Linked DNA regions of Sus scrofa. The protein of the gene in region 1 interacts with the protein of each later gene in a pairwise test. Links are inferred from orthologs where the notes say so. Each region holds a gene or a part of one and is shown on either strand. Other genes may lie near its edges.

Region 1 (3,686 bases):
CCGTACTACATCCCGGATAGGATTCTCTCAAGTAATCAAAACCACAAACCCTACTTGAGTCCCTGTGTTTCCAGGAAGGCAGACCTCGAGGTATTTGGGTCCTGGAGCACACATGGTGCACAGCTCAGAAAGCGGTAAATGAACCGACTGCACTTGGAAAAAAACCTTTTTTTTCTTTAAGGTAATACATTGACATTTCAAAATTCAAAAGATACAAAAAGGCATATATGGGAAAGTGTCTCTTCTATCCTGGACCCTCGGCCTTCCCAGAAAAATTAGAATTCTCTAGTAATCTAGAGATAGACGACGACAATAACCTTTTATCTCACACTGTGCCAGGCAACATTCTAAACGCTTTGCATGGCATTAACTCTAACTTCACTAAACCTTCTGAAGTAGGAATCACTGCTCTTTATGAGTAAACACAAGACTATAAAGCTAACTCATACATTTAACATCCTAGCCCTTCCCTTTTTTTTCCAACAGATGTACTCTACACACTGTTCAGCACTGTTTTTTTTTCACTTCAGAATGCATTTTGAAGAGGATTCCCTTTTTACATCTAAAGTGTTCCACTGTATGAATGTGCATGTCATGATTTGCTACCATTCCATTAAGAAAATTCATCTGAGCAGTGCACAAGTGACCCAGGGAAATTTCTAAAATGAGTGTGGGAATGCCAACTACCGTAGGGAGGAGGGGCAAGGTCTCTGGCCCCACCCCCACCGCACTTCTACAGGCCCCGCCCCCTGGTCCGTCACGGAGGGACGCTCAGAGTCCTCGGAGACAGCCGCCTAGAAGGGCCGGAAGTACTTCATGGCGCTCACCGATACCCGCCCCTCCGCTTCCGGCATTGGAGGCGGGGACTCCCTGCTGCAGTTCTCCGTGTCTGGTTGGTAGGATGGCGCCGGGCCGATGCGGTTATAGCTGCGATAGCGGACGGGTGCCAAGCCCTTCCACCCTCCTCCCTAGTTTATCCCCAGTGGCAGCCGGTGGTGGGGCCAGGCCTGTTTCGTCTGTGTTCCTCTCTCCCTCTTATCACAGAGGCGTGGACCTCGGTCCTTGTAGCCCTCCAGCCCTATTCCCGAGTGCCTGCTAGAGCGTCCCCTTACCGTTTCCTGTCATCCCCCCCCGGGGGGGCATAGGGTGGGAGGGGTTGGTAAGAAAGGGGCGTAGCGCAACTACGGAGGGAACTCGCGAGCTTGGGTAGCTTTTAGCGCCGGAAGTGTTGAGAGGGAGGCCGGAAATGTGGGGGCGGAGCCAGGAAGTGAGGATGGGCGGGGGTTTATGAGGAGGCCAAGGGAGCGTTGAGGCAGATTTGCACTCAGTGCCACCTGAGGGACTTGGCGGTAGCGCTCAGCTTTGTCCCCTCCCCTCTCAGGGACACGGTTGTCGTCTAGGAGTAGGAAACTCTGTGTGGACGGGTGGGTTGTCGGGAAGACATTTCTCTGGCCGCGCTTGAAGCAAGGTGTGGAGAGGCAGGGCTGGGGGTGGGGCCGGGTCGTCAGGGCATCTGAGAGGGAAGACCCCCGCCCCTCCGCCCCCCACCGCCCATCTACACTGGCTGACTGGACACTAAGATGGCTGCCGTTGCCATGGCACCCAACCCTGTGCAGACCCTTCAGGAGGAGGCGGTGTGCGCCATCTGCCTGGATTACTTCACGGACCCCGTGTCCATCGGCTGCGGGCACAACTTCTGCCGAGTGTGTGTAACCCAGTTGTGGGGAGGGGAGGATGAAGAGGACAGGGACGAGTTAGACCGGGAAGAAGAGGAGGAGGACGGCGAGGAGGAGGAAGTGGAGGCTGTGGGGGCCGGTGGTGGGTGGGACACCCCCATGCGGGATGAAGACTATGAGGGCGACATGGAAGAGGAGGTTGAGGAGGAAGAGGAGGGTGTGTTCTGGACCAGTGGCATGGGCGGGTCGAACTGGGACAACATGGACTACGTGTGGGAGGAGGAGGACGAGGAGGAAGACCTGGACTATTACTTGGGGGACATGGAGGAGGACCTGAGGGGGGAGGATGAGGAGGACGAGGAGGAAGTGCTGGAGGAGGACGAAGAAGAGGAACTAGATCCCGTCACCCCACTGCCCCCGCCTCCAGCCCCTCGGAGGTGCTTCACCTGCCCCCAGTGCCGCAAGAGCTTTCCTAGGCGGAGCTTCCGCCCCAACCTGCAGCTGGCCAACATGGTCCAGGTGATTCGGCAGATGCACCCAAACCCTGGTCGAGGGAGCCGTGGGAACGAGCAGGGCATTTGTCCCAAACACCAAGAAGCCCTGAAGCTCTTCTGCGAGGTGGATGAAGAGGCCATCTGTGTGGTGTGCCGAGAATCCAGGAACCACAAACAGCACAGCGTGGTGCCATTGGAGGAGGTGGTACAGGAGTACAAGGTGAGAGAACTAAAAGATGGGAGTTTAATGGGGGTGGAGAGTAAGAAAGAGGGGCTGGGAAAAAAAAATATATGTCTTCCCTCTTCAAAGAACCTCATGTACTGCTTAGCTGATTCTCCTTACCTAAGCACTTACTGGCACCAAGATGGGTTAAATGAGAAGGATCCTACACAAAGTAGACACAGTGGAGAAGACCAGGGAAGACTGGTTTCCTCAAAGGAAAATGGACAAAACTGGTGATGCCATATCACTGGGCATTGTGTCCTGGAGGAAAAGCCACTGCAGTTTTACATGTCCACTGTTCCTAAGTATAGGAGTGCAAGTGACAACCCCCAAGGGCTTTACCACCAGTCTCATTTATCTCTGAGTCTTAAATCTGTCCTTGACTAAGACCCCTAGAAATGGAAGGAACTTGAGCTCCTGAGGAGCAGGAGTGTAGTATTGACTGCTAGTATCAAACCCAAATGGTCTACACTTCCTTTCTTTTTTTTGCATTTGCTTTCTGTTGCAATGGATTCTCCACCCATCCTACAATATGTCTTGGTTCTCCCCTTGAGGAATTTTGTTGGATCTACATCATTCTGATGTACTGGCCAGGACTTCTTATCTTTCCTAAGAATTCAGGAAAAAAAGGAGAGGCTTTTAAGTCAGAAGACCAGCTCTTGGTCTCTCAATGTCTTTGAACTTTAATTTTTCCAGGATTAAAAGTTAATATTTACTGGACACTTTATATGTATCCTGGCACTGTACTAAGCACTTTTCATGGACTGTCTCACTGAAAACTCCAAACAACTCTATGTGGTTTGATATGGTTTCTATTCCCGTTTTACAGATTGGGAAACAGAATCAGAGAGATTTAAGTAATACACAGAGGGCCACACGGCTACTAGTAAGTGATGGACTTGGTTATGAGCCCCCTGCCCTGCCCACGTTGCCTTTGGCCTGTACTGTTAACAGTATCACCACCATTTGGATATCTGTTTGTTTGACTTAACTGACATGTGACTTTTCTTCTTGGAGTCTGATTCTAGTTTAGTTAATACCTTGCCTCCGACTTCTGATCCTGACTCAGGTAAAGGAGATTTGTCCATGACACAGCCAGCAGAAATAACATTATTTAGCAAAGGCCCAGATGAATTTGAAGTAGTGGGACCAAGAGAAGAGGGTAGCTTCTTCTGTGTGGTCTTCACAAAGCTTTTTTTTTTGGTCTTTTTGCCTTATCTAGGGCTGTTCCCATGGCATATGGGGAGGTTCCCAGGCTAGGGGTCTAATCAGAGCTGTAGCCACCGGCCTATG
Region 2 (3,751 bases), on another chromosome or scaffold:
AAAGGAACTGCTTGACAAAATAATTTAATACAGTATAATGTAAAATCATGAGGCTTCCTAATGCTTTTCATTTTTTTGGCCCCGCCCACAGCACGTGGAAGTTCCCCAGACTGGGGATGGAACCCACACCACAGCAGCAACCTGAGCTGCTGCAGCGACAAAGGGGGATGCTTACACCACTTACCACAAGGGAACTCCACTTTAAATATTTTAATAAACGTTTTTATTGAAATATAATCCGATTGTATTTTGGAATAATTGTATTTAAGTTTAACGTAAAGATTTTTAAGATCGCATTCACTGCACTGGGTAAAGTAGGATATAGCTGTACTTTACTGCCAGGGATAAAAACGTGCGTTGAACTGAGAGATATTGTTATCTACAATATCTAGTAGTGAAAAAGATGTAAAATGATGTGTAGATTACATGCCAAGGTTTTCTCTAAAATAAGCCCGCTGTGAAAGTCAGTGGCACGCCTGTTCAATTCAACAAACATTTAATTAGTGCGTATGGTTTGCAAGGAACCGTGTTGGGTACTGAGGAGGAAGCCAAGATAAACAGCATCAGCTGGAGGGAGACAAGACAGGACCCCAGTAACTAGGCTGCAAAGCAGAATAGAAAACGTAAAACATAGGAGAACCTGGTGGAGCTTAAAAATAAACTTTTCCTGCCTGCATTTCCTTTTTTTTTTTTTTTTCCCCTTCTTTCTTTTTTGTCTTTAGTAACTATTTTGGATCCCTGTTCACCTGTGCCAAGTCATTTGTGGGCAGAGAATTCGCGACTCGGCGAAATCGCCGCTCTTCTGTCTTCTTCCTTTCTTCACATATTCGATGAGCTCCTCTGCCACCAGCACCGCATTTGGAATAGCATCTATTGTGTGGGTGGTGAAGCGATGGAAAGCTATTTTTGTTCTAATTATGAGAACTGGTTTATTGGGAGAAGGGGGAGGAGAGGCAGATCAGAGATGGAGATGCTGAGGGAGGAGGCGTTACTAAGGTTACTAGAAAGAGGATGGCAGGTGATATGCAGGCAGAGTTTCTTCTAAAACAAAACAAAATTCCAAACTAGGGGCGTGGGTTTAGTGTGAGCAGTGCCACACGGTATTAGATGCTGTGCTCCTGAGATGGAAATGGAAGGATGCTGCCTCCGCCTTCCCCCTGCCCCCGGTCCTGTTCTTCCGCTGCTTTTGTTTCCCGGGACTGTTATCTCTGTAGCACAAGGTTGGCGCGCCTGAGAACGGTGTCATTTAAGTGAGACGCGTGGCCGAACCAGACCGGAAGTAGCGCCCAGTCGGGACCCGTAGGGAGAGGCAGAGAGCCGGTGGTGGCGGCAGCGGCCGCTCAAGCTGTGACTGTGGTGGCGGCTTGTGGCGAGGCTGCGTGGCAGCGGCGACCAGGCTGGTGCAGCAGCGGCTCGCTCAGACTGTGGGTCGCTGTTGCAAACCACGATTTTGTGGGCCCACTTGGCAGAGCTGGGAGGAGGGGAAGGGGTGTGTGAGAAGGGCGGTGAGTGTATTTGGAGTCGGAAAGAAGGGCAGCGAAAGTTGTGTCTCTTATGCTACTAGTTGATTATCTTTCTCTTTCCTTTTCTTTTAAAAAATTTTTATTTTTTAATGTATTTTTATGGCAGATTCTGGAGACACCCGGCGTCTCTCTTCTCGAATTTCTCTCGGCCCTTGTAGGTGGATTCGTAGCCTGAAGTGAGTGAGAACTTTTTATTGCAACCACTGAGTTCAGATGGGTATGGGAAAGGTGAGCGAAAAGGAAGACAGGGGTAGTAAGGGTAGGAGGTGGTGTCATAGGATGAGGGAACAAGCTGATGATAGCAATAGTAGTTAACCTTTGACAGGGTTTTACTGTACCAGATACTGTTCTAAAACCCTTTATATGTGGTAACTCAAGTAATGCGCCGGCCTCTGAAAGTGGAACTCTATTAGCCTCACTTTATAGATGGGGAAACAGGCTCCCAGAACTTAAGGAGCATGCCTAAAGAATACTTGAAAAGTGCAGAGCCAAGATTTGCATTCTGGCAGGCTGATCCCAGAACATCTTTCTAAGCTCCCCACAATGGTTGTCTTCCATCAAGATGTGAGGAAAGTGGGAGACGTGGGACAAGGCGTGAGAGGATGTTATGGTTTTAACAGGTATGATGAAACAGCTGAAGCAAGTTGACATGGCAAAAGGTATGAGATCCAGGTGTGTCATTACTGTGGCCTAAACCTTCGCCTCTGACTTTGGCTAGGGCCTTTCTAGAATTCTGTGGGACAGGGAGGAGACATACACACTCATATACTTTTTAAAAATTTCCATGTTGAAAATGGAATTATAAAGATCACAGACTCAATAGGATGTAAGGATAGTTTAATTTAGCACATAAAGCCCAAAGAATGAAGTAATTTATTCAAGGTAGCTAAGACTAGAAACATATCTCTTCTCTTAGGTCCAGTGCAGTGAAATTTAGGGGTTTATTTCCTATTCATGCTGTACTTACTCTAGTGAATATTAGAGTTTAAAAAGTTTGATCTATCATTTGACCAGGATTGGTTCCTTGTAGTCATATGAATTAGGGATTTATGACAAGTAGTCAAATAATCCCATTAATGTGTGTCCCAAATTCAATGTAATACTGAAAGCAGGTGCTGCTTCTAACACAAGTCAGGGACGATTGAGATCTTTCAGTATTTCTAATAATTTTGATTTAAAAGTGAATTGAAACAAGTTAAAGTTGTCTAGAACAAAGGGCAAGGTGTCTTACCTTGAAGAAACTAGGTTTACAAGAAAAAGGAAATCTCTACACATATGGAAAGAGAATAGGAAAATCTTTGTCAATTGATTGTCCTACTCACAAATCCAATAAGTCTAATGGAATATGGTAATCAAAATGTTAACATGTTCCAGAGGCATTTTGTAGTAGTTGAGATCATTGAGCTTAAGATTCAAGTAGATTGGCCTGATGTAATTATAGAGGGGGAAACAAGCTCCCAGAACATAAGGAGCCTGCCCAGAGAAATTATATTTTGTGTAGTCGATTGCTTGTCATTTGATTTCTTCATCTCTGAAATGAGGTAATAATTCCTAACTTGTAGAATTAGAAGCAGTTTTTGTAAAGAATCTACCATGATGCCTGGAACAAAGTTGATGATAAATACACAGCAACTGTCTTTACTCTTGAGTCAGGAAAAGCATTGCTGAGCCTTGTTTTCAGTGACATGCCAGCTTCTAGACCTGATTTTCAATGGAAAGATCAAAGAATGGTTTCTTTCACTTGTTGGCCTAGTGGTAATTAAGGTGAAAAACATAATTCATTCTCTGAAGGAGTAAGTCTGTTACTTCAAAGTGAGCGAAAGGTTTAGATGGCTAGATAGCCCCTGAACAGTGATATATCCACCACTATTGTGGCTTTTTTTGGGGGGGGGGGTGCTTTTTAGGGCCTTATCTGAGGCATATGGAAGTTCCCAGGCTAGGGGTCAAATCAGAGCTATAGCTATAGCTCTGATTGAACCCACAACCTCATGGTTCCTAGTCAGATTCGTTTCCACTGTGCCATGATGGGAATTCCTATTGTGGCTTTTAAAGAGAACTTAATTTTGAACTATGGGCAACTTAGTTTCTAAGTTATTGGTTATACTTCTTTACAGATGCATGGTCATGGAGGGTATGACTCTGATTTTAGTGATGATGAGCACTGTGGAGAATCTAGCAAAAGGAAAAAAAGGTAAGTTTTTATTGATCTGTGTTTGTGATCCTTTCTA
Region 3 (3,651 bases), on another chromosome or scaffold:
CATTTGATTATTGGAAGAATGATACCTCTTCTTTTGGATTACTCATTTTATAGGCAATAAAATGCTGCACTTGCTCTTCTGGGGGCTTATTCTTAACAGGACAGCTAGCAGGGTAGGAGTATGTGTGGTGGAGGGAGGCAGGAGGCTGGGAGTGGGAAACAGAGTGACAGTTTGATTTTTTCTCTTTATTGGTTCGGCTTGACAGATGATGTTCTTTCTACCACCTACCTAACTTTGTCTCAGCTCCTATAAAATAAGAGCCTTCTACTTCCATGGAAGTAAATCATTTCATCCTGAAGTCTCCCTGTAGCTTGCCTGGAAGGAAAGTAGGGCCTATTGGATGTTTCTTTAATGATTTCAAATGAATAGGATAATATTTACTTGTTTAATTCATCTTCATCACCTTAAAGGGATATTTGTCATTTCTACCAGAGGTCACTGTTCTGCCTCCCTCTTCCTCTCCCTCCCCCATCTCTCTTCTCTTTTTCTAAATTATAATCATAAATAATGAGTTTCATTCACAGCTCCCTGCCAGCGAGCTGCTAATTACGCAAAGTACTGCTTGTAATTTACACAGTAATAAACTGTAAATTTAAACATTACGGCACTTTAAGTTAATAATTTTTCTGCTGTAACAAATAGCTCATTTTTCACCCATCTTTTCCCTTGGCCCGACTCCCATGGTCATGTCTGAGCCAGAGGCCTAGGTGTTCGGGATGAAGAGTATGAAGAATACAGTGTGTGAAACCATTTCATTTACAAAGTCTGACCTCAACTTAATTTTTCTATAGCTAGTTCTGCTAAAATGTGTATCCTAATATTTAGGCTAATCCATACACATAGATGAATACAGATAACAACATTTGCCCAGAAACAAATGTCTTTGAGTAACAGGCTTGCCATTTTTGACATTTATGCCCGTGACTTATGCTCTCATCTTAACACGCAGACGTGCGTAACGCTTGCTCATGTACTGTTGGTATGCTTCCCTAGGTTCTGTGATAGGTAGGCATTGTAAATGTACTCAAGTTAAATGAAGGGTGAGTGCCTTATGCCATTTTCCAGTTTTTTGGAGATGATTAGTTTCTGAACTATTTGTGGTCTTGTGGGCATAACTTCCTATTACAGTCTTGAGAACTGCAGATTTAAGAACCAGTCTATACAAACACCTATTTTTACTTTAAGAGATGATGTTTAACAGACAAAATAAAGGGTGACGATTTTTGTAAGTAACAAAAGTTCTTTGATATGTATACATTTAGTCAGTGGATACTTCAGTGTTACCAGTGAGTACTCAGTAGATGTCCCATTATGAAGGCTCTTGAAGCTGTAACCATATGACTAGGGAGCTTGGTGTGGTGGCCTGTTAAAAATTAAAAATTGGCTGCTGTTGAATTTTTTTTCAAGTGTTTCTATTTTGATATACCTTAAATACTCCAGGAAGTATTACTCACTATATTAAAATATTATATATAGTAAAAACATGTTTATAGTGACTTTTTTTTGAACACTAAAAAAAAATAAATCTAGAATAACATGCAGTAGTTTTACAGCAGGGTCCTACAAAAAGATACATAGTTTGCTGTTGGGTTTTAGGATTGAGATTTGACATGTGCCTTTGGGGTTGTTGGTATAATTATGGGAAAGTGTGAGCTTGACAACAGGTCATACTTACATATTTGTTTCTGTGGTTAGATGACACTCTTGTCTTCCTTGCCTCTTCAGGAGACCAGCATAAGTAATTTGGGTACTGAGAGGATAAGCCACCTCATTAGTGATCCTCGGCAGAAAGAGTAAGTGCTTATGTATTTACCGGCTATCAGAGCTTGTCCTTGGAGGAGGCAGCAGAGGGAAGTTTTATTTTAGAACCTGGAAATTTTCTTTTAGAGCTGAAAGAGAACCTCTTAAAGATTGATACTTTAAGACACTTAACATGGCTAACACCCAACATGGCTAACACCCTGAACTCATGAGAGATGTTTTTTCTTTCCAGGCTAGTTTTTATTTCTTTGCTTTTTATGTCTATAGGTGATACATTATAAAAGTAGCTTCCAATAGGATGTTATTTCTTAAACTAATTTTTCTATCTTTAAAAAAATTTTTTGTTCAAAATGGGTGATTGCCTCTATATTCTCCTATATGCCTTTCCCATTTTTAGACCTCTAGACAGAGAAATACCATTTCGTTCTAACTTCTGTGCTAAGTGCAATTGGAAAGCGTATGTGTAGTGATAGGAAAATCATGCCACCCTTTCTTGTGACAGCCTTGTCCCCTAACATAATTGGCTTTCTTTTGATGTCTCCTGTACATGTCATGGTCAGTGTCCAATTATGATCCTACACCCATCCAGCCTGGTTGAAGTTTATTTTTTTTTTAAGCTTTTTTGTTATTGTTGTTGCTTTTTAGGGCCACACCTGAGAGGCATATGGAAGTTCCCAGGCTAGGGGTCTCATCGGAGCTACAGCTGCTGGCCTACACCACAGCCACAGCAATGTGGGAATCTGAGCCGTGTCTGCGACCTATATGAAAGCTCGTGGCAACGCCAGATCCTTAACCCACGGAGGGAGGCCAGGGATTGAACCCGCATCCTCATGGATCCTAGTCAGGTTTGTTAACCGCTGAGCCAGAGGGAACTCTTGAAGTTTTAAATTATAAAATAGGCAAGACGTGAATGTTGTTTATGCCCTTGTTGAATTGGGAAGCCTGTCTTCACTGCACAGCTAGCTGAGAGTGCATTGGTGATAGACCATAATCTTGAGTTTATTTTTAGTGTCCAGTCTGCTGCATTCCATTCTTTTTCCTTTGAAGAGTTATTCTCTGGAGGAAAAAAGTTCATATACATTTAACATCACCTTTTCTCCTCTCCATTTTTTTCTCATTCTTTGTCTTCACTTTTTATCTTTTCCTCTCTATAATTTTCCTACCATGTCTTTTATTGTTTTCTTTCCCTTTATTCTCTCCCTCTCTTTAGTTTCTGGTTACCATCAACTGGGAAAAGAGAGCGAAATCAGGTAAGATTGCTTTTCTGTTTGTCATCTTTATTTTATCATTTGATTTCCTTTTCTTTAGAAAGAATAAAGCGTTGACTTCTGATTTTCCTCACATTTCTGCTTGTGCACATGAGGTAAGGTTCCCTTTCCTTAAATTATTCTGATTTTCTTGGAGGACTGTTTTCCAAGAATATCTTATATACATGGATAAGAACTGTAGCTAATTCCCCTTTTTAGGTTCAATGGCGACTTTCAGTTTATTACTTGTAACACATTCCATAGGAATCCAGTTTTTATTCTAATTTTGAATTTTGCAGTAAGAAATCAAAAGGAACCTTATCTGCTTATGGTTTAGTTCAGCATCAGCATAGAGTGCTAAGTACAATGTTGAATCCTAAACGTGAAATAGAAGGTAGAGCTGCTTCGGGTGAAGGGCAGTTGAGGCCTTAAAGCCTCTTACTCTTCTCCCTAGCTACCCCTGAGGGGGCCTTGGCATTTCTAATATCAAGGCCTTTATAGGGGTCATAATTTTAAAATTGCTAACAGTGGTTCTCAATATGTTCCTTTAATGTTTGAAGCTTTTGATTTTTGTTGGGTGAGGGCTTGCTTTATCTTTTTTTTTTTTTTTTTTTTTTTTTGTCTTTTTAGGGCCTCTTCTGCA

Evidence for each region.
Region 2: the proteins of TRIM41 (region 1) and FRA10AC1 interact in binary tests that used the Homo sapiens proteins (3 or more experiments, as listed by UniProt). The two-hybrid records come from large-scale screens. The link is inferred for Sus scrofa from reciprocal best matches to the Homo sapiens genes TRIM41 and FRA10AC1.
Region 3: the proteins of TRIM41 (region 1) and GPATCH2L interact in binary tests that used the Homo sapiens proteins (3 or more experiments, as listed by UniProt). The two-hybrid records come from large-scale screens. The link is inferred for Sus scrofa from reciprocal best matches to the Homo sapiens genes TRIM41 and GPATCH2L.

What each region holds. Positions count from the first base shown.
Region 1 is NC_010444.4:57,292,884-57,296,569, reverse strand, and holds the start of TRIM41 (E3 ubiquitin-protein ligase TRIM41), read left to right. Parts: upstream 1-798; 5' UTR 799-1,580; coding exon 1,581-2,390; intron 2,391-3,686.
Region 2 is NC_010456.5:105,167,375-105,171,125, reverse strand, and holds the start of FRA10AC1 (protein FRA10AC1), read left to right. Parts: upstream 1-1,271; 5' UTR 1,272-1,424; exon of another isoform or gene 1,425-1,505; intron 1,506-1,629; 5' UTR 1,630-1,699; exon of another isoform or gene 1,700-1,736; coding exon of another isoform or gene 1,737-1,751; intron 1,752-2,143; exon of another isoform or gene 2,144-2,182; intron 2,183-3,637; coding exon 3,638-3,714; intron 3,715-3,751. UniProt on the Homo sapiens protein: May be involved in pre-mRNA splicing.
Region 3 is NC_010449.5:99,345,952-99,349,602, forward strand, and holds part of GPATCH2L (G patch domain-containing protein 2-like), read left to right. Parts: intron 1-1,725; coding exon 1,726-1,793; intron 1,794-2,971; coding exon 2,972-3,011; exon of another isoform or gene 3,012-3,069; coding exon of another isoform or gene 3,070-3,124; intron 3,125-3,651.